3 linked regions of the Mytilus edulis genome follow. The protein of the gene in region 3 binds, or shares a complex with, the protein of the main gene of each other region. Links are inferred from orthologs where the notes say so. Each region holds a gene or a part of one and is shown on either strand. Other genes may lie near its edges.

Region 1 (7,758 bases), about 67 Mb from region 3:
GCTCTCAATTTCTGATAGTTCATCTGGTAGTTTATTCCAGTTTCTGATGGTCCTAGGGAAAAAGCTGTATTTGTAGATATCTTTGTTTGGCCTGATTTGTACATATCTTTTAGTGTTCGGTTGATGGAGTCTCGAAGTTCTTCTTGGTTTTATAATGTGCATTGGAATAGGTATAGCAACTCTTTCAAAGATGGCTTTATGAAAGAGCTATTTTTCTTCTAGTCAGTCAGAGCTCAGACATAAACAAGTCGATTTTTGTTTTTGACAATAAAGAAGTCAAAACATGTATTTATCATAAAAATGTGTTTTCAATTTTAGACTTATCTACATGTAAGTCATAAAATGACAGACTTGTTTAGGTCTATTTATGTTGATGAAAAAACTTAATTTCACTTGGTGGCCAAACTACACAACATATGACAGCAAAAACCTGTCTGAGAGTTCACAAGGACTTGAGCTATCTATATGTAATTGTCTAATTGAACATCCTTACTAAACACAGATGTTTTTCCTCATTAAGTGTAGTTCCAGGTGGTTGCATTGTAAGGTTAATTAACATTATCTCCGATTTTTTAGACTCTCATTCATATTTTTCTTTAGAAGACAAAGCATTGTCTTTCACTGTTGTCATTATTTGATTTAGATGCATGACCTCCTTATAAATATGCGTGGGTCTTGAAGTTAACCAATTTTGATCACTTATCGACTTATAGGAGTCAATATTTGCGACTTTTTTATTCTGGTCAATTATTTGTTGCTTAACAATATTTGACTTATTAAATACTATGTTTCAAAAAAGGCTGATTCCTTATTTTATAAAGATTGGTCTATTATCACCAGTTTACAAAAACAAAGGAGACAAATCTTACTCCAAGAACTACCGTGGTATAGTTGTTTTACCAATACTATTAAAAATAATTGAGTACATACTACGTGATGATCTAAGAAAACATTCTCTCAATCTACAGTCAGTACTACAGAGAGGCTTCACTGCAAATGCTTCACCACTGTATGCAGCAATTATAGTAGAAGAAGTATATAGAGAAAAATATGGACAAGAAATCACCATTTCTTATAGCTTTACTGGATGCGAAATCTGCCTTAGATGTTGTGGTCTTAAAAATTCTACTACGGAAAGTACACTTCACCGATGTCAATCCAGCTACTTGGATATTAATTGATGAAATACATAAAAACACAGAAGCATGCGTCAAATGGGCAAATGATTATTCAGAAAAGTTTCCAGTCCAACAGGGAGTTAAACAGGGAGGTCTTCTCAGTGCAGATCTGTATAAAATATATATTGAAGATTTACTTCATAATTTTGAAAATGTTGCACAGGGATGCACAATTGGAGAAACCTCTGTTAATGCAATAGCCTGTGCGGACGATGTTGCCTTGATGAGCGAAAATCCAGCAGAACTACAACTTCTCATAAATATAGCTGCTGAATATAGTCAAAACCATCACTATCTACTACAGCCTCAAAAAAGTGTTGTCTTACAAATAGAACCATCTAACCGCAAGAAACAGTCTAAATCAGTCAATTTAACTTTGAACGAAAATCCTATGCCAATCGTTGACAAATCACCTCATCTAGGAATTCTTAGATCAACATCTTCAAAAAACTCTCAAAATGAAACCACTGACCAGAACATTACTAAATCTAGGAGAGCCGCCTACAGTCTCATGTCAGCAGGACTGCATGGTGAGAATGGACTTGATCCGATTACCTCACTACATCTAATCAAAACCTTTATACAACCTATTCTTACATACGGCTTAGAAGTTATATTACCTACTTCATCAAATCTACTAAAATTAGAAAAGTTCCAAAAACAGTTGCTTAAGAGAATTATGTCTTTACCGATATGTACACCAGATCCGAGTATTTACATCCTATCCGGATTCTTACCTATAGAAGCACAAATCGACCAAAAAGCGCTAATATTATTTAATAACATATGTAGGCAAGACAACTCAAATTTAGAAAAGAAATTGGCTATTAGACAATTAACCGTCAAAGATCAATCGAGCAACAGCTGGTTTATTTCAATTAAGAAAATGATATTTAAATATGGACTACCATCTCCGTTACAACTTCTAAACTGTGCGCCAAAAAAGTTTCAATGGAAGAGAACTGTCCAAATTGCCGTTTATAAATACTGGAAAGAAGCAATAATTTCATCCGGAAAAAGCTATATGTCTCTTCGACATCTTAATATAGACGCATACAATCCTGGGGAATTTCACCATCTTTTGGACATAAATACAACTAACGATCCGACCAGAGAAACAACAAGACTGGCAATTAAATTAAAATTAGTAACTGGCACTTATATATTACAGAATAAAAGATTTAGATATACAGAAAACGAAACTCCGATCTGTAAATTATGTGATCAAGGCGATGAAACTCTCTGTCACTTCCTGTTGGACTGTCAAATTCTAGAACCTATCCGACAAAAATATTTTCACCAGATCGATGAAATATTACATTTAATATCGAAAGACAACCTTAGAACACTTTCCAGTCATGATAAAATCCAAATAATTCTGGACTGTACGTTGTACTATACTGGACTTAAAGGAAATAGTGAAAATATTGTTAAATTAGATGCAATATGCAGGCAAATGTGTATGCGTTACATATAGCAAGATACCGATCTTTAGATATTAAAAGGAAATGAGGATATTTCATTGTTATGAACTTATAACATGTTCCGAACATCGGTACTCCCGTATTTATACTGTTGTTGTGCCGAGAGCATACCTGTCAAATAGTGAACTGTATATACTCGTATAATGTGGAAATTATTTTAAACATTGCTAATTCAGTGATGCATGGAGGATAATATGAAACATTGATATCTCCGTACTCAAGTGTATTATATAATTACCGATAATGTGTGTAAAATAGTGTACATAGATGTGGTGGTGGAATATTGACTACTCAAATGAGGTTGTCCCGAAGTGGACGGAGAAAGATTTCCTGGTAAGGTAAGATGTGACCAGAATAAACCTTTACCTGAATACAAGCTTTGATCTCTAAATCTAACTTTACTATTTCTTGGAGACAAATTCTAACTTGGATGTCTTCAGCAGCCATGAAGCAAAACAACAAAATCCAGCTGTGATCAAAACGAAAATAACTTTGACATGTGTCCGGAAGTAAACATTAGAAATGACGATTGTTAGTTGTCGCAAATGGGAAACCCGAAGAACAAAACTTAATCATATGAAACAAACTATTGATATATGTATTAAGAGTAATTTAACACAAATTGGTCAGAACAAATAATAATAAAATTGTTTTTCTAAATTTTTTTTAAAAATAAATAAAAATAAAGCAAAAGACACTTACGTTAATGTTTACTTCCGGCTTGGAAGAGTAACCACGTTGACATGTCAAACTATATTTAAAACTATGTTTTAATGCAACATCTAAAACCAGAAATGCAAATTTTTAGAATAAGCATTATATTTTACTTTCTGATTTTTGGATAAAGACAATAACAGAGGAAGCATAACAGATCGTGCGTAACATTTAACCAGACCGAATCCACCAGACCACCTTCTACCACTTTTGACACTGACAGTTGTTTTCTATATATCCTGTAAAGGAGCTGTAGTTTATATGGGAAGGTGAGTATTTTTTCATTATCTGCAACAATATCACTAACTTGGCAATCACAACACTTGACTTACATTCAATTTTCAACATTGTCTGAAGAAAGGTTGTGTAACAGATATTTTGGGTCTGGAATATAGGTGAAGGGTTGATCAGGCCCCAAGTCGATACGGACCCATAATAAAAATATTAATAATCCATATTAACTTCAGAGGATTTAGTTACATATGTACTAATTAGTGACAAGAAGAATAATATTAGCGACAAGAAAACATTTTTTTTTATTAAAATTACTTATTCCAAATAAATATTAAAAGAATATTTAAATGAAAACAATTTTAAGGACAAGAAAGTTAATATTGGTAGAAATAAAAAATAGACATAGATCTACATTTTTAATTCAGTTGCTACATTTATTTACATGATATTGTGTTAATTGGATGTTATTGTAGCAATAAAACAAAGGACACGCGCCTCGTTAATCTCATTTGAAGTTCTACATCGTGTATTACCTTCGGTGAAGCCACAGCTAACGTTGGTCCTATCAGGACAATGAATTGTACAGTTAGAAAGGAAATAATATTCCATGTAATTGTTTCAATAAATCCTTCAAAGGAAAGGTGAAAAATCTTTGTTTTTATTTTCATTTTATAGCGTGTGCATTTCCTTTGCTCTTATAAATGTTTAATTTCTTCATCTATCAATAATATGAGGCAGGCATTACCTGTTGATGGGGACGAAGTTTGTTTAAATTAATTTGTTTGTAACTTAATATTTGTTAAAAAAAAGAAAGGGAAATACCGTAACCATAACCCTGAATGGACTTTTCATATAATGACTTAAGCAAAAGTAACTAAATTATCATATTGTAATTACATGTAGCTGAATTTCCTTAGATTTTCTCTCATTTTGTCATATAGGCATTCAGCATGGTAACGTTTCCGATTTTGGTTCTGTTGTTAAGGATTTTACTTGTGACATTATTTAAGTTACATGTATGACGTCATGTTCAATGTAAACATGGGAAACACAATGCATCAGGTAACGTTTATGCATACCAAAGACAAAGAATGATTAAAAATGAAATATTGGTATTGAGTTCCTATATTTTACTAGACTAATCAAAGTCTCACGACAACAAGACCAGAAGAAGGAAGTAGAGTTATGCTTTCTGCGCAGATCTGGAAATTAAAAAACGCGACAAAAAAAATTGAACGATTTTGAGTTCATTAGTACAATGAAATTTTTTTTTTATTGAATTTTCTACTGTAATACATGTAGGGTACTTCGTCCCCATATAATTAAAAACTACACAATCCCTTCCTCACAAATGTTCATTTCTTCATCTATCAATATAATAACAAAAAATTATCAATTTATTTCTGCCCGTATATATTAAAAATGACTAAATGAATATTTTTTTATATTTAATAAAAAAAAATGTTTTCTTGTCGCTAAATAGCTTCTTGTCGCTTCTTATCGCTTCTTGACACTTCTTGTCGCTAATTAGTGAGACCCCATATGGATTTATGTAAAAAGTATCAATGCTTGATGACAAGTGAAGTTAGTATGCCTAATCCTTGGAGTAATATTCAGATGGATTACATGTACATGATGTATATTAAGTTGAAACCAGTTAAGTGTAATTGGTACTGTTTTTCAATTGAATTCAATGTAATGATTATAATGACTTGTTTAAATAAAATCATTATTCTATTTATAACTGGTTTGTTTTAATCGTGAACTATAGTAACACCAGTTGTATAATCAATCAATTCAATCAAGATTATGATTGCTAAAACTTGTGACAGATAGACAAAGGGCTGGATCGACATTAAAAGCCAAATAATACATGTATACCAGTCAATTGGTATGCATAATACATTGTGTTAATAGTGCTATTAACACAATGTATAACGCATACCAGTGGACTGGCACATATTTCTGCCCAAACACATTTATGATACCGGCCCCTGAGCATGTACATGAACAATGTAGATCTATGCAGATTAGTTTGTACCACTTAGACTAGAGTTTGCCCTTGTCCAAATCCAGGCCTGGTATTAAACCATATTTCTTAGAATCCAAGTGCTACATTCCTAGTTAGTTCATAACTACATGTACATGTTGTAAAATTGAGAATTGAAATGGGGAATATGTCAAAGAGACAACAACCCTACCAAAGAGCAGATAACAGCCAAAGTCTAACTATGGGTCTTCAGCACAGTGTGAAAATCCTGCATCCTGAGTGGGCATCAGCTGGCCTCTTAAGAAAGATGTGTACTAGTTTAGTGAAAATGGATGTCATACTAAACTTCAAAACATATAAATGAACTAAAATTTGAAAAAAACATACATGTATACAAGAATAACAAAGGCCAGAGACTCATGTCCATGACTTTAGCCAGGCGCAAAAATGCAGTGGGGTTAAACATGTTTTGTGAGATCTCAACCCTCTGCTATACCTCTAGCAAATGTAGAATAAAGAATCGCACAACATTATCATGATTATGCATAGTAAAAGTCAGTTTAAAAGAAGTCTGAGCCAATGTCAGAAAAGGTAACAAAAGAAACACAGCAAAATGACAATGATACATAAATTATCAAAGGACCATTAGATGCTGTCCTCTTATCAAAGGACTACTAGCAGTTACTTTCATGCCTGCTCCAGACCACAATTAAACTGATTGAAAGATTATCAAATAAGTCTTCTTTATATGAAAATCAAGTACAATCTCTCCTGTTCCTCCATATTTCCAATGCAAAGACCTTACGAGTCAATCAAAATTAATACCAATATATGCCATCATTAATGACCTGAAAACAGTATCATAACAATATCCCTCCTGCATGTTCTGAATAAGTCTGTTTAAAGGTTTGGCTAGCCTTTGAGGTGAATGCAGACATTTTTGTGCTTTATAAAGAATATAACCTTAAAAGATTGGATGTGAAATACCTGAATGTATGAGATGTCTGCATGTTTATTTATGTTTAGGAATGATATCCTTGTACAATGTTGTATTGATGGTAAAATCTATTAAATATTTTGACTAGTTTGTGATATCGAAAAATCCTGGTGTAATAATTTTCAAGTAATACAGAGATTTCTTTCGTTATACAACTGTAATCATATACACAGTTACATATACACAAGTGAATTGAACTAGTTGAGATACATGTATATAAAACACCATAAGATGATGCAGTCTGCACTGTTAGCCTCTAGTTCGATGCCCCAAACTATTAAAATTTCATTCGGACTAGTAAGTTTTTGCAAAACTTTGTTTGAACTAATATGAAAAATGTCAGAATATTGATCTTCAGACTAGTAGTTGAAAAAGTTTTTGGTGCAGACTGTGATGTCCTCTTATTGAAAATAAACCTTTACAGGACATAATTTAAAAGTATTTTATTATAAAACTATGTCTGATTGAATGAACACTTTTTCACAACATCAGACACATTTAAATACTTTTATACTTTTCACTTCCACTTTTATGGCTTGCATACATGTACATGTACGTTAATTTCAACTTTTTCTGCACTCAACACTTAGTTCAATTCTTAATTGGTTTATAAACTAACATCATCCAAATAAAAGAAGCATAACAAAGACATGATGTTTTGCAATGTTAACACAATAAACTACAATGAGTGCCAGCAGTTAATATACAAAAAATGTAATGTTTACATGTTTACAAACTAGAATTTCATGTTCCTTATAAGTAACATGTAGAAAAAAGGTTTGATGTTATTGATTTTCTTCTACACAGGTAAATCAAAAACCTTTTCAATGGAAATTTATATAATTATATGATATTAGATGTATCATTAATTTTTTGTTTCACTGAGTTTTTAAAGTTTATTAAGTTTCTTCAAATGTTGTCATCTCGAAATACAAAAAACACTTCCAGGTATATTTGTTTTTGTTATTTTGATACAATGCCTAAATGATAAGGTAAGACTAAAGTTGTTTTTTGTGAAAAGTCAAAGACTTCTTTAAAAATGAACCCCTATTTCATGGAATAAGCATGCACAGAATACACTTGTAAGGGGGTTCAAATGGAAGTCTTGTCCCTTTAACTTTTTTTCACTGTTAATATGTCACACAAATGATCATCAAATTG
Region 2 (8,453 bases), on a different chromosome or scaffold from region 3:
TGACAATAATACATAAATAACAACAGATTACTAGCAGTTAACTGACATGCCAGCTCCAGACTTCAATTAAACTGACTGAAAGATTATGATTTCATCATAAAAGTATGTTGTTATCAATGATTTTTTACTGACAGGAATCATTACGGTATCTCATTCTCGATAGCTTTCAGGGGCTACGTTCCTTTCGAACCCACTACCAGCAGGTGCTTTAACATTGAGCGGTTGGCTACCCTCATATTCCTCGCCAAGGTTCGGGCGTACACGTAAAAATGACCCAGCTACGCCACTGTTTTTCGGTGGATACCAAACAGGGGATGTTTATAATCAAGTAAACAGAACAGCCAAAACAAAATACAATTTATCTCACAATGTTTTATAACTCCATATTCCTTTTTTCAGGGTTATTGCACGGGATGCGACAAAACTAAAGGAACTTGGGATAAATCTAGTTATAAATCTATCTCCAAATGAAGTGAAAACGAACCCATTAATTTATGAACCTTATGACATAAAATACTGTCCACTAAGTTCGGATGATAACGTATACACATGCTTATTGAATATTGTTGAAGATGGTGCGGACCTGATAGAGGACACAATAAAAGATGGAGGTAAGCTAATCTACTCAGACTTTTTTCCTACTGTGTCGTACACTATTCAGGTACTCTATCAAGTGAGAGCTATAAATGAAAGTAAAAACCAAGCTAAAAATAGATGCAATTTACTTATCATTCAGGGTATAACGGTATCTGTTTCTCTATATATACACGAGCAAAATTATCGACAGCTAGTTAATTGTTTTCTTTATTATTTTAAATAAAATCTAAAAATTAGCATTGGCTGTTCCAGCCCCCCTTTTTTGTGGGGAACATTTGTTGATTATATAGGTGACCACAGAAGCATGTCTGTAGGGGGCTCCTATTATGGCAGTCAGTGCCTCCTTTTCTATTTCAAATTTGTGATCATTCATTTTGAGTTACATATAAATGAAAAGTCTGGAAAACCAAATTCAGCAAGTTTGCAAAAGTTGTGAACAAAATTAGTACGATGTTATAATCATATTTACCTGTGGAAGATAAAAGCGGGTGTTAGAAATGGAAAACAAAGGTTTCGTCATCAAAAAATTCTTCCTGGACCCCATTGCCCCCTGATATCAAATAGCGACCCTTTATATTTTATAACTAAACAAACTTACACTTTATACGATATTTTTTGTTTCATATACTGTATCTAAGGGGAAAAATACAATACCATTTTATTATTGCAGGTAAAGTCTTGGTTCACTGTTCAGGCGGAGTCCGAAAATCGCCCGCAATGGCAATTGCCTATCTCATGCTAAAGGAACAGTTGCCTATCTGGAATGCCGTAAAGTGTATCAGAAGATGTCGTAAAGTGTGTCCTAGCAACGGTCTCATTATGCAATTGTGTATTCTGAATAAAGAAATATTTGACAAAGTTACGCACAAATAGATAACATATACAATGTATATTGGAAGAAAACATACAAAACATATGGCTGCATTTACATTTTACTTTAGTGCGCATGCAGGCATGCAGTATGGTAAAAAGAACAGTTCAATACATTGCCATTGCATACCTAAACGTTTGGAGTTCTTGTTCAAACAAGTCGTTTGGGCAGGTACATATAATATACATGTATGTATTACATGTCTCTAGTTTGAGAATGTAGAACATAAGATTTTATTCTTATGTATGAATTAGTTGTGCTACTATTTGTATAAGCTACCTCAATTTTATGTGACACTATTTTAATTGGAGTTTGACCAAAACATACTTGTTGCTTTAAGTATGTAAATAAATAAAAATATGACTCAAACGCATGTGTTTCATAGTATAATAAGCCATATATATATATATATATATATATATATATATATACTTAAGAATTATGGTCGATGGTCTTATTATTGATTTATTAGATGTCTATAGGTACAGGAGCAGCTTTTGTAAAATTACTACCAACGAACATGTATACAATCATTTGTGTATCAAATGTATGTTTTATAAACAATTGTTAAAGAAATTCATTCCATATTTCCTGAGTGTAATATATGATAGACAATTTTAGTTGATTGATTGGTTGGTTGGTTTGTTGGTTATAAAATGTTTGCAATGTATCAAGTGACAAGTTCTTTATATCGAGTGGTTGGAACCGCTGTATTGGTCGATTTGTTGTTACGTTTAATGGTTGATGGATTGAATTTATAAATATTGACTGTTTTCTAGGTTAAAAATACGCATATTTTATATTGTCTATTTATTGATTAATGATTTATGTACGTGACGTCCAGTGAAAAATAGTTGACGATTTTTTTTTTACTCGGAGAAATAGGCAAGGTGTTTTCCTCATGAATAAGAGAAATAGGACGGCGACAACTTCCTCGATTCAATGAATAGGCGAAAATCTAAAATTCAATGCTATTTTCAGATTCACACCAACACGTAAATAACAAATACGAAAGTTCTGATACGGGTTCGATATAAATTGCAATTAAAAACATACACTACAAATAAATTGTAAAGTCTGATGAGTTTAGAAAAGGGAATACAATGTATAAAACAAGATTCAATGATATTTCATGACGAGTGTTAAGCCTAGCATGTCCAAATGCAATTTATGATATTCAAACTAAATTTGGTGTTTGCGCATGGCCTGGGAGAGATAGATTTTCTCTATTATTTGTAGTTGCCATTTTATGGACTTTCATAAAACATTTTGACCTTTTTAGCATTGTTTATAGCCTGGTTGAACGGAATATTAGCGTAATACAGTTAAAGCATAATTTTATTTATCTATCATAACATAATAGTAAAGATTACAGGCAAAAAACGGAAAAAAAATTATATAAAAACAAACCGTCATTCAAGGACATAATTCCTATCAGGAGTTGATTAAGATTTCGACTAAGTGATAACCAAAAGTTCCAAGTGGTGAAGTTATAAAGTCATGCCCACGAAAAAATAACAGACACCATCACGAGTTGGATGACCAATATGGCATATCAGTTTCACAGACCGACAACGAATATGTTCCGATCATCGTAAACACAACCCCGGTCTCATTTTCCATCAATGTAAATACCCAATTAGACTTATCATGCGTAGATATTGAACTTAGAGCAACATGACTGGAACTACATGTAGAGAAAGATCAGTTTATTCTTCCGGAGAACCTGCGATCACCCCGGTTTTAGTGGGTGTTAGTGGTGCTCATTCTTTAGATTCATCGATTCTGCGTTTTGTGTGCTGCTGTAATGAGACTGATGTGGTGTGATTGCCAATGAGACAACTATCATAAAAAGTTTAAATAAAGTAAAATGAGCAACTATGTGCAAATGTACGGGCTTCATCAATGAGAAAAACCCTTACCTTAATGTATTGCTATAAAGATCCCGACAGAAAATAAAATTAATTTGGAACAATTCAATTTAGAAATCTTAGTTTATTTTCGACTTGATATCGATCACTACTCTTCTTTTTTTTAGCCTTGCTGAACAGATGATTAGCTCAAAACAGTGAAAGCATAATTTTCTTTATCCATCATATCATAATACAATTATTAAGATAACGTACAAGCCATCATATTACAATTATTAAAATATCAGACAAAAAAAATGAGAAAATTTTTGAAAAAAAACGTAATTCAAGACTCAATTCGACAATGTGTTAACCAATAGTTCCAAATGGTGAAGTTAAAGTCATGCCTACAAAAAAATTACGAAGATCATAATGAGTTGGATGACCGTTATGGAGTATCTGTTTCACAGATGACGAACACCATGAACACTGAATATGCAAAACACAGAACAGCGCTAAGATAACTCGAAAGGCAGGATTTAAACGTGCATGCTTCGATGGTCTTAGCCAGAGTGTAATTATGTCTCCATTCATTGAAAAATCGCAGATCTCAGAAAGAAAAAAATCCGAACAGATCTTAGAATCATATTCAAAACAGTGTGGCTGTGGACATTGATTGACGACCTAAATTATCCCATTGACTAGGACAGATTAGGTGAACGTTTGTCTGTAACGACCACTGCTCACTACTTGCTTATTATAGAATTTAAACTGTGGGATCACCAAAGGTTCTTAAAGTTTTTAATATTAAAATAATTCGAAAAATTAACCAGAAATAACCTTTATGTTTTGATTTATATTATTGATATAAATCAAAACATCGTGTTATTCCTGATTAGCTTTTCGAATTACTTTATTCAGGCATTGAGAACCTTTGGTGACCCCACAGTTTAAGTGTCTTTAACAAGTACACAGTGAGCAGTGGTCGTTACAGACAAACGTTCACATAATCTGTCCCAGTCAATGGGATAATTTAGGTCGTCAATCAATAGTCACAGCCACACTGTTTTGAATATGATTCTATTTAAATTATTGATATCAGAGGTATCTTTTTTTGAGATACCAGATCAATCGCCAACCATTCTAACATTTGCAAAGAAAGAAAAATGGATATGAAAATTTCACAAGATAATGAATGTAAGCATTGTCATTCAGATAAATCGCCAATAAAATTGTGTTCAGTACAAAACATTATGGACCCTTAACTTAAATATTCCAATTTATTATTCTATTTTAGATCAAAACTACCGTAAACTGTATGTAAGGACATAGTTAATTATATTGGCTTCATTAGCTGGTAAAGTTAAGATAACGCCTTAATTCCTCCTGAGAATCTGAGACTGTTTTAACACAGTAGTCTCAGCTTCCTCATATTATAAATAAAACTTTTAAGGACCCGTCAGCTGAGTGTCCGATTGAGGGCTCTTTTTCTTGTTATTTAAGGAGATTATGTTTCATATTTCTTTTTGATTATAAATCTAATGAAAAAGATCTTAAATAAACGAAAAGTGCAAAACTCGTCAGCAATTAAGTACCCTCTTGGTAAATAGTCAGTTTACTGAGTAAAACTTTATACCGTGAATGCCAATCGGTTATATGACAGTCTTCACTATACCTACACAATAATTTATATTTTATTTGCGATCTTGTTTTTATAGGGGGAAATGTGGTCCATCTTTAGAATAAAGGTGTATAAAACATGTAAAAGGCATATAAAAACACACTGTAATATTTGGTGTCTAATCAATGTTATTCTTTTCCGGAAATTTTTCAACCTTTTATCCGAGAACGGATAAAGTATTAAAAATGAAAAAGTTATGTCATTGAAACGTTTTATTAATCGCAATCTATCACTCTTTGTTTAGAATAATTTTTGACATTGTACAAATGTTTTGCTGGAGATTTTGACACATCAACACTCCGAAAAAAAAATGACAGATAACAGGAACAACCGGAATGGTAATAGTTATCTGCGTCTCTGTCTGTATCTGTATGGTTACGTCGTAGCTACCAATTCTGGCTTTAATACAACGGGGTGAAGGCGCCGTCGATTTACTGACGTCTCGTGAGAGCAGCTTTAAAGCTCTCAACGCTCGTTTCGCGCACAATAGTGTACCCATAGTTATCTGCGTCATTTTTTTTATTTCGTTTCTTCAATCAAAACATTGTGACTTGGATTGAGAGTTGTCTTATTGTCATTCATACCACATCTTCCTATATCATGTACATGTATGCTGAGACTACTATAGCATTTGTATCACACAGTGTTATAGTAGTCTCAGATGTATGTATCCAGATCATGTTTGCATGAAAGTGTTAAAGCCTGATATGTCATAATTGTCTATAACCCTTACTCTAAGAGGGCGGTTAAGAGTTATTTCGTACAACGTTTTCCGCCTTTTTATTTGTGTTTTGATGTTTTATTTCCCGTTTACTCATGTTTGGTTTCGTGTGCGTGCTAATGTTCCCCCAATACACCATATCACTATTCCTGGCTGGCCCTTAGAATCTGTACTACTTAAACTATTGACGTCACACAACAATCACTTTTCCATTGTGGAGTCGGATATTTTGTATTATGGCGTCAAAATTTTACAGGAACCTGTGTGATGACATGTAATGGCGGACAAAACAAATACATGTAACTACATGTATAAGATCTATAAGGTGTATTCATATCATACTATTATGACCATTACATTTGGGACCCATTGAAGAAAAATATAATTACAGAATAACTAATCGAAGAATTCAAGTGGAGAAAAATATTCAACAGGTGACTGAACAACTGTAATTCACAAATGAGTGTAGCGCATGAGTTAATTATCAATGTTGTTCCGTCAAGAGTTGAATATTTTTCCGATATTTGAATTCTTTTATTAGTTAAATAGATACACATGTAACTCTATAGCATGTACCAGGTCATTACAGATAATACCTTTCTGAATTTACAAAAAATGATCATGTACTCATCAAAGTGAGAGGGTTAGCGCTATAAAACCAGGTTTAATCCACCATTTTCTACATTTTCTACATTTAAAAATGCCTGTACCAAGTCAGAAATATGACAGTTCTTGTACATTCGGTTTTGATGCGTTTTGTCATTTGATTTTGCAATGTGATTATCATGATTATGGACTTTTCAAATTGATTTTCCTCTATAGCTAAGTTTTGTATTTTTGTGATTTTACTTTTTGCATATGGTTTCTTCATTCAGATGATTCTAAAATTTGTACAAGCTTTTAGAAATGTATATACTTGCACTATGTATAAAATGATGTACATGTATGTTTATTATGGTTTTATTTCTAAATTTTTAATTTCTCTTTGATAACTAGATTTAAGGAAATTTTGATATCTTTCTTAAATCATGTAAATAGTATTATTAATATAGCTTAACAAATGCTTGGAAAGTAAATTTAATATGTATTTCAGGCAATCAATTTTTATAAATTTCCTTTGTATTTTACTACAGTTACTCATATAAAATGGTAGTATACAAAAAAATGAGTTAACTCTCCTAATAAATATATAAGTCTAGACATTGCTAGAGTGCCTGCCAAGAAATAAATATATTTCAAAAAGTATTTCTACATGTACAAATGTAGGTATACCCTTGATTAATAATGGGGTAGAATGGAATACATACATTCATGTAGATTTAGAAACCATTTTAACTAGGCCATAAAAAAGAATAGGTGTGTTTGCCCTAACCCTACCTACATGTACCCAGAAAATAGCTGCCTTCTCATAATCTTTTATTGTCCTGATGTGAAAATATTTTTTCATTCTGATAGCCATGAAGAATTATAAACATCTGATAAATTCTCTTTTCCAAAAAAAAAAGAAAATGCCTACCTACATGTTTGGGTAGGGTTTGGGCAAACCAAAATAATTGTGGCCCTAGGCAATGACATGTAATTTTTTTTAAATTGACCATATACTTTTACATTTCAGGATTGTCTAGATCAGAAGAAATGCTTGATTCTGAAAACCAAAGACGAGTTGATGGATTATCAGACAAAGTATCAAGACTGAAATCAGTATGTGCTAACCTGACTTAATACAGAATACTGTAAATTCAGAAATTATTGCAATGTTTTCATTATTGCGAAAAATTGGACAGTGTTATACATGTACATGTTATAATTGCAATAATTCAAACTTCAAATTCAAATTTCTGAATTTACTGTAACTTGTGCAAGGTGCATGAATCTAATATCTGTTCTAAAATATCATATTTTTGTCATTGTTGAAGATAGCTTTACAATTGAAGTTTAACCTTCCTCACTCCAAATAATTGTAGTTGAATCAACTAAATTCAATTCTTTATAAAATGTAATATTTAATTTCGCTTCCCACTGATAAATTTAAGCAATTTGTACCCATCAGTGCATACAAGCACTTAATTATTGAATGAAACTGATAATATATATAGCAAGCAAGTAAAGCAAAACTGGAAGATTATATGCATAACATGATAAAAAAATATGTTTTTCAAACAGAGGAGTTGTAGGCCCTCTAATCTGTTACTGATTCAATTTTTATATACCGGTAGTTCTCTTTCATAATTTTACTATTTTCAGCTTGCGTTTGATATAGAAACAGAATCAAAAGACTCTAACAGATACTTGGATGACATGGTAGGTTCTAAATCTTCTGGGGCGGATCCAGCCATTTTAAAAAAATGCTACAACTGCTGGAACCCCAAATCTGGATCTCCAACTAATCTTCTTGTTTTCTCACAATTTTTATCATGTTGATTAAAAACGTCATTTTGTCTTTTGCTGTTAAAATAAAAATAAGAAGATGGGATATGATTGCCAATGAGACAACTCTCCTACAGAGACAAAATGACATGGAAGTGTACGGCCTTCAACAATGAGCAAAACCCACAATACCACATAGCAAGCAATAGACTGGCATTGTTTTCTCTAGTAGAAAGATGATAAATTTCCATAATCTAAAACCATGTTGTTATATCTTTTATTTTCTTACTAGTATTTTGTTTTAGAATTTTTCATCATTGAACCACTACTAGCATATTGGTATGCAGTTATATTAGCCTTGCTCAT
Region 3 (7,731 bases):
GTTACATTCATCATATTTGAGAGAATGCAAATAAATGGATATATATTTGGGTATACAACCATGACTATGTTTTTTACACAGTTAAAGTTAATTTCCCTCAACTCAAAAGGAGTAGGTCCGGTAAGGGCCGATTTTGACTTAAATTTCAGGTTCAACTAACGAAAGCTTTTGGACACTTTTTAAACAGGTAAGTGTCTATTTCAATTGATTCAATTAGTTTGTGTGAAAGATTTTAACTGATTTAATCATTAAAAACGCTCTGATTCAAGCTTATATATATGAAAAATCTATCAAATATGCCAAAAAAAACGTCACTTTTCAGATGTTTTTTGTCAAAAATGAAAGTGGCTGCATCCGTGTTCATCCTCAACCTTTATATATGATTTGTATTATCATCAAATACAACTTACATTTCAATATTATGAATGAACACGAATGCGGCCACTTTCATTTTAGACGGAAACCGTCTAAAAATTAACCAAAATTCTAAAATTTGGAAGATTCCAGTAATTTAGCATGACTTTATGATACCAGTACGCAATATTTGTGCATTGTATTGTCAAAAACAGCTCATATTTATGTAGCAGAATCATTTTACTTTCCAAAATAAAGCTTATGGATTACATTTTCACAATTTTCTAAAACTGCTATATTTTGGGGCCAAAAAGGGGTCTTACTGAACATACTCCTTTCTGTTATTTCAAGGAAAATGTCTTACACACTTGCCAGATTTACATTATGTTTTCACGGTTATCTCAAAATATTTTATCAGTCTGCTCAACATTGAGATTATGAATGTCAAACTGTATTTAATGTTTAAATATAGCAAGATGCTTATTTTTGAATTGACTGATGTTTAATGTTCTGTTAGTAATCTGTTGATTACATTCAAGATCATAACATGTAAATGTGATATGAATATGAACCACAATCTAACTAACACACAGCAGTCATTCCCAAGATTGCAGAGTTTAGTAAAAATGAGTCTGATCCAGTAAAGAGATATGCATTACTGAACCAAATAGCAAGTAAAATTTAAGTTTTGACCTAATCATGCAGGGACTGCGCTGTGCGTCGTCAATGTCGCAATTTGTGATGTTTTATTTCATCGGGCGACAAAAACAGCTGCTGGCGATATTTCTGGCCCCAACATTTAAAACATGTGAAAATTTTCATTTCTTTTGACAATATTGATCTTCATTTTAATTGGTAAAAGTTAAAAAAAAAAAAAAAAAAAATTCTACAAAATTTTACCTGGCGACAAGTTTATGACTTTGTTTACAACCCCATGTTAATCAACAGTTACAACAGGTGTCATAATCTGTTGTTACAGATCTGTTTATCGAATGGGTCATTAATGATCATCCACATTAATTAATTCAAATATATATACATTGTAATTGGTCAGTCGGCATTTTGTCTATTTCATTTGAAGAAATGTTCATACAACAACACAATTTCCAATGTTTACCGTAGTTTTGATTCATGTGTGTAAAAGACTTATAAAAAAAAAGAGTCTGGTCCAGTTAAGACAAATTGTTTACTGGAACAAATGTGCAATGATTTCTCAAAGCCATGGGAAAGATTTATGTTCAAATTTAGACTGGTGTTACTTAATTCTAAAAATTATTGTATTCTGTTTATTTTAACTATTGTATGTGTACATGGTGTATCTCTATGTATGTGTGCCTATGTTTTTAAGATAATTCATAGATCACTCTTGGCAAACTTTTCAATCCCTTTTGACATCATTGTTAAAATAAGTATGGTTGCCTATAATTGCTCACATCCATTTTTTTTTACCTTTGGTGCAAAGTCGTCTCATTGGCAATTCGACCACATCTCCATAATTCTACAAATGTATATGTGTAGCGGTAAATAATTTTGTCATATCTAATTACCTGCCTGCATTTACATAATCCTTTCTGTGCTTTAGTAGAAAATCTTTCAACTGTGTAATGGTTGATACCTAAGAAGAATATTGAAACTATAAAATAACTGTTCAATGTGGGTTATAAATCAAAACATTTCAGGTAATATCAGAATTATTTTACACAATCTTGAAATACCATTAAAATGTTAAAAGTACAAATTGATAAAGATTTGCTTTTTTTTAAACAATAAGAGTCAAAATAAAATTGAGAATGGAAATGGGCATGATGAGGAATATGTCAAAGAGACAACAACTTGACCAAAGAGCAGACAAGCCACCAATGGGTCTTCAACGCAACAAGAAAATTCTGCAACCAGAGGTGGTTCTCAACTGGTGTACTAGTTCAGTGAAAATTGACATAAAAAATCAAGATATTGAAAAATTTAATTTTTTCACAGAAAGGAAAAAAAATGCCCATCAAAAACCAAGAAAGATTTTATCTCTCTTAACCCTTTACTCCATGGATATTTTTTTTTAAATACTTGATTTCGCATAGGACTTTTTTCAGTAAAAAAAATCATCAGGTTTAAAGTGTTAATGCATTGTGAAAACTAATATTTCAGTGATCAATGAAATTCAAGTCAGATATTCTCATGAATCTCCTTTTCATATTGGATAAATTTTTTTGAAGTCTGATGCAGACATTTTGGAGACATAGCGTTTCAACTGAGGTACTACACAGGCGTCATTAAAAGATTATGGAGTAAAGGGGGTGGCGTCAAAAGGCGTTATTATGGAGGAAAGGGTTAAACACTAAATGCATTTAACTTTTATATACATGTGGATGCTAGGCCTTAAAACTTTCCAAACAGCACAGGTAAGTCTGTACACAGAGTAGTTTTTGATGTGAAAAAACAGTCAAATTTGTCCATTTGTTTAATGATCAATGAACCTTAACAGAACAAGCTTTTATAAATAACGTTAAAAAATCAGCAGTATATTGTCTTTTTAAACATCTTGCAGTGATATCTGTATGGTTACGACAAAGTTACCAATTCTCGCTTTAACTTGACGAGAGATAGAGCGCCTATTGAAGATGTTGGAGAGCTGTAATTATAATGCACTGTCTGTTTATATTTATTTATTTGAAATAATTAAAATTTTATTTGTTTTACATTAAATCTGTTTTGTCATTTCTACACTTAATTAGCCTTCTTGTCACCAATAAGAAGTGAAACCCCTTATACTTACCAATCCTTTTGCTGTGTTTTCAAAATCACTCCTCTGTTTTGTGGCAGGGAAAATATTAGTAAATTCTTTCTTTCCATTTTCCTTTGAAATCTTATTTCTACTTTTTATAGTTTTGACTGTCGCTTTAAATAAATTAGTAACATCTGACATTGTGTTGAAATGAGAAAAAGGTAAACAATATGTGTGACAGGTTACATATATATATGCTTCCAACTTGGCACTTTTCGGTTCACAGATTCATATGTCAACAACGACGAACTTATTTTTATTTTTACTTGATTATTACTGGGTAGTATGACGTGAATTGTGTGGCCACTTACAGCAAAAAATATATCATTAACTATCTTATTTATGCAAGATACTTATTACAATGATTGAAAATAAAATAAAAATATGTTGGCAACTTATAGCAACATTTTGGTCTTCAGATTTTGTGCATCTATGTCGATTTTGCGTTTGAAATAAGTACCGATTTTTATTTGATTAAAAAGAACATAAATGACTTTGAAATAATAATGAAGAAAAACAAAAAATGAAAATGTAGAAGTTTAGCAACCAAAATGATTAAGACGGACATTTGCCTTCATTTTATAGTTTTACTCTGTGCTGTTTCAAGTATTGACATAGAAGAATGTTATGAAGACAAATGTGACGAGCTTTACGTCCCTCATGCACCACTTGTTTTTTGTACAAATTTGTAAGTGGTTTTAAAATTAATAATCGGAACATCCTGTCGAGCATGCCGATGAGAGCGGACGTGAAAATTTTTGCAGAGACAATCCTTCAACATCATTGAAATTGTTTTGTCAAATTGATTTCATGGATAAATATTATTATCCTTACATCGTATATTTTATGATTTGGATTATATTTTTTTTGTTGAGAAAGATTTCTGCAGATATTTTCAGGTTTGTTTGAGACATGTAGTCAGATGGGATCCATTAGTAGTTTCCATGTGGGAAACTATCAGACCAATCTATTTGATGTCTGAGGGTTTTAGCTGTTCCCCTAATGGATCGGTAGTTTCTTTCCGAGATCCTTTATCATAGGATTTTCGGCTTTCCTCTACCAGGAATACAGCTGGGCATTTAGCGGTATCGGTTTGGATTCCAAGTATGTCCTCTCCGGTTTCCCGTTCGTTGTCTAGGCATTTGTGCGGCATCCGGGGTGACCTTATCCTTTATTTTGTATATAATGTTTTTTTATAATATGCATTTTTTATATTTTTGAGGATGAGTGAGTCAGGTGAGTGGGTGTGTTCGTATGCTTTATTACATTGTACTTATTGTTTTGGGGAAGGTTAACTTTCTGGTAGTAAGACCCGTCACGGCCAGGCTGGGAAACTGGATAGGCAAATGCTCACATTAAATCTGTATCGATACAGTGTGTTAAATGTCTTCCTTTTTACACCATAACCCATGGTGGTGCTCCTACTAAAGGAGGGAGATACGGAACATACATACATCCCTTAATTAAATATACCTTATTGCTACTACTATTACTGGAAATCACACAGGTTCCCGTAAAATTTCGACGTCATAATACAAATTATCTGACGCCACTGAAACGGGGGTGGAGTTTCCACTGGCTTTTTTTTGTACAGGGAAATAAAAAACACCAAAGATGCAGAACTACTTCAACAAGATCTGGAAACCCTACAAGAATGGGAGAATGATTGGCTCATGGAATTTCATCCCAAAAAGTGCCAAGTCATTCACATTACCAGGGGTTAAAAAATCCACTAGCCCGACGCCCGGGACTAGATCATTTACGCCTCGGGCAATTAAAATGTGTAATCCGATATGCCCGACGGACTAGTAACAAAAAATTCTTGACGTTTCCAAAATAGAAAGTGAAAAATCCCTTCATCACTATTCTATGTTAGCCATTTCGATTCAATTAAGTCATCCGGGATCCAAGAATTTGAACTGGTTTGTACAGGTCCTGTTGTACATATTTTAAACATAGAACAAATAACTCTGGCATGTCTGGGTGGCCTGGTATCATGTGTTGATTCTCGTACTTTAAATATCGATTTCTCATACCATTGATTGAGGTATTGTACATTGCTTATCGTGCCGAGATTTTCGATTAACGTTATTTGAGGGTATGATGTATTGATTGGTATTGACATGTCTTGTTGCACAGCTCTTGAGCACGAAACTATGCAACAAAATATTTCTTAATATATTAGTACGGGAACCCTAGGAACTTTGTCAGTTTCTAAACGAAAAACGGTAGATGAATGGAGTAACGAGGCTGAAAATTCATCCCCCCCAAAATGCTAAACCGCGGAAAAACAATAATAGCGTCCAGGACAGCAGGGCTGTCAAGTCTTTAGCGCGAGACTCACACATGTTCATGCTTATTTGGCGGCATTTTCCTTTGATCTGTTGTTTTTTCTCTTTGATCTTAACAATTTGGCCAACAAAAAACGCATTCACTTCCCGAAAAGTTGGCAGAACTGGGACACAATGATTACCTTGGCTGTTGCTGATGAAAAAAACAGACAATGCTCTGTGAATATTGCCGTTAGTTGCCCCAAGCTAGCCAATAAAAAGTCTGCTTTGAATGTGGGAACAACTTAGTTAGGTTAAGCACCAAAAGAATAATAACAGATCAACAAAAAATATTAAATACAGTGTATAATGTCTCCTTCAAAACAAAGGGCACCTACTTTGTATTGTGCAGCAAACTCTTAATTTTTAAGGCATACTAGGGCTAGCAGGTCAGTTTTTATGGACTAGCAGTTCTTCCAACAGGGCTAGTAAAATCCTGCTGCCAATAAGTCCTGGGCTAGCTAGCTGTAACAAAATTTTTTAGCCCCTGATTACCAACAAGAGGAAACCAATCAGACAGCCATATATCATCCATGGTCACGTCTTAGAGGAAGTAGAATGTGCAAAATATCTGGGGGCCAACATCCACCACAAACTAAACTGGACTACTCACATAGACCAAGTAGTAAGAAAAGCCAACAACACCAGGGCTTTTCTACAGAGAAATATATCACAATGCCCACGAAAGACCAAGGAACTCTGCTACAAGACCCTTGTGAGACCACAGATGGAGTATGCAAGCATCATTTGGGATCCACACACAGCAAACAACATCCACAACCTGGAAATGGTACAACGTAGGGCAGCAAGATTTGTTACTGGTGACTACCACCGAACCACTAGTGTAACAAACCTATTACACCAGCTGCAATGGCCAACCCTACAAGAGCGTAGAGCAACGAATAAAGTTATAATGATGTACCGCATAGTTAACCACTTGGTTGCAATACCAACATCCTGCTTAATCCCAACAGCAGCAACATTAAGAGGACACAACCAACGATTCCTTGTTCCATTCGCAAGAACGCAGCTTTACCAGTACTCGTTCTTCCCAGACGCCATCAGATTATGGAACAGTCTACCACCAACTACTGTAGCCTGCAACTCAATTGACACATTCAAGTGTGAGTTGCAGAAGACCAAGATGTATTAAGGACTGTGCGAATTTTTTAACTGTACATACTATTTTTTAACTGCACTGTAAATATTGGTTTGTCTGCACCACGCATCAGTTCGATAATACACCAGATGGTGGTATGAACTGTATATGGAAGAAGAAGAAGAAGAAGAAGGCTTCGCTGTCTTCCTGTTGTCTACCCAAGTTCTGCTGGGATATTGGACAAAGTATGTAAAACATGTTAACATAAACAAGATGTTTATTTAAAGACATACATATGATTGAATTATAAGTTACATACAAGAAATACTAAAATATACGGTTGTGGCTAGTCTACTTGTCCTTTTAACCATGTTAACATGTTTAAAGTTCCATATTTGAAAGCCAAAACAGTATGAGCTTCTGCTCATTTCAAATCCTAAGTGTAGACTGCCACAAACCTGGTGAGTGACTTCATACTTATAGTTCCTAGGGACAACAAGCCCGGCAGGGCCCAATGTCAGGCACGTGCAAGAAGCAGGAAGTCCTGACAAGAATAATTACATTGCCAGTCTCGGGAGAAAGAGTTACGGAACTATAAGTAATACTAATATTAACCAATTTCCCCAAATAAATAGAATAAACAAGAAAACAAAGTGACTACCGTTACACCACAATTGAAAAGTGATTGTTGTACATGTATGACGTCTATAGTTCAAGTGGCACCGATCCTCAGGTCAGCCAGTAATAGCCATAACATGCATATATAAGGTGTATATTATCCCTAGAGATTTTGAGATATTCTTTTCCTGAAATATGATCCAAATGATTGGTCCAACATGTGTATTGTGGTTGACGTACAACATACTTGGGAGGTCAATCCTCAATCTTAAGGCCTGTTGGAAAAAATTATCTCAATGTGCAGGTTTTCTCAACCGTGTGTTTTGCTCAATGTTTTTTCTTCTCTGTGCTTTAAAAGGGTATGCGCTGGTTAACATTGGGACTAAAGTATCAAATCTGCCAGTTCTGTCAATGTAAGGCCAAGTGTGCTCAGTAGCTTTAATGTCTTGAAGGTTACTTTTCATTAGTGTGGACATCATTCAGACAAAAGACATTTGATAATGTCTTTCAGAAACTCAACTATATTTATATATGGATATTTTTAATGAATA

The links.
Region 1: syntaxin-18-like (region 3) and vesicle transport protein SEC20-like share a complex: the UniProt entries of both Homo sapiens proteins name them as parts of the SNARE complex. The link is inferred for Mytilus edulis from reciprocal best matches to the Homo sapiens genes STX18 and BNIP1.
Region 2: syntaxin-18-like (region 3) and BET1-like protein share a complex: the UniProt entries of both Homo sapiens proteins name them as parts of the SNARE complex. The link is inferred for Mytilus edulis from reciprocal best matches to the Homo sapiens genes STX18 and BET1L.

What each region holds. Positions count from the first base shown.
Region 1 is NC_092347.1:13,288,890-13,296,647, reverse strand, and holds the start of vesicle transport protein SEC20-like, read right to left. Parts: upstream 3,192-7,758; 5' UTR 3,110-3,191; coding exon 3,029-3,109; intron 1-3,028. Other genes in the region: ectonucleoside triphosphate diphosphohydrolase 7-like, read left to right, coding at 3,638-3,645. UniProt on the Homo sapiens protein: As part of a SNARE complex may be involved in endoplasmic reticulum membranes fusion and be required for the maintenance of endoplasmic reticulum organization. Also plays a role in apoptosis.
Region 2 is NC_092350.1:69,796,323-69,804,775, forward strand, and holds the start of BET1-like protein, read left to right. Parts: upstream 1-5,262; 5' UTR 5,263-5,309; coding exon 5,310-5,337; intron 5,338-7,335; coding exon 7,336-7,421; intron 7,422-7,964; coding exon 7,965-8,021; intron 8,022-8,453. Other genes in the region: dual specificity protein phosphatase 3-like, read left to right, coding at 400-611, 1,268-1,470. UniProt on the Homo sapiens protein: Vesicle SNARE required for targeting and fusion of retrograde transport vesicles with the Golgi complex. Required for the integrity of the Golgi complex.
Region 3 is NC_092347.1:80,145,255-80,152,985, forward strand, and holds the start of syntaxin-18-like, read right to left. Parts: upstream 3,559-7,731; 5' UTR 3,275-3,558; coding exon 3,125-3,274; intron 1,970-3,124; coding exon 1,902-1,969; intron 1-1,901. Other genes in the region: TM2 domain-containing protein 2-like, read left to right, coding at 3,685-3,821. UniProt on the Homo sapiens protein: Syntaxin that may be involved in targeting and fusion of Golgi-derived retrograde transport vesicles with the ER.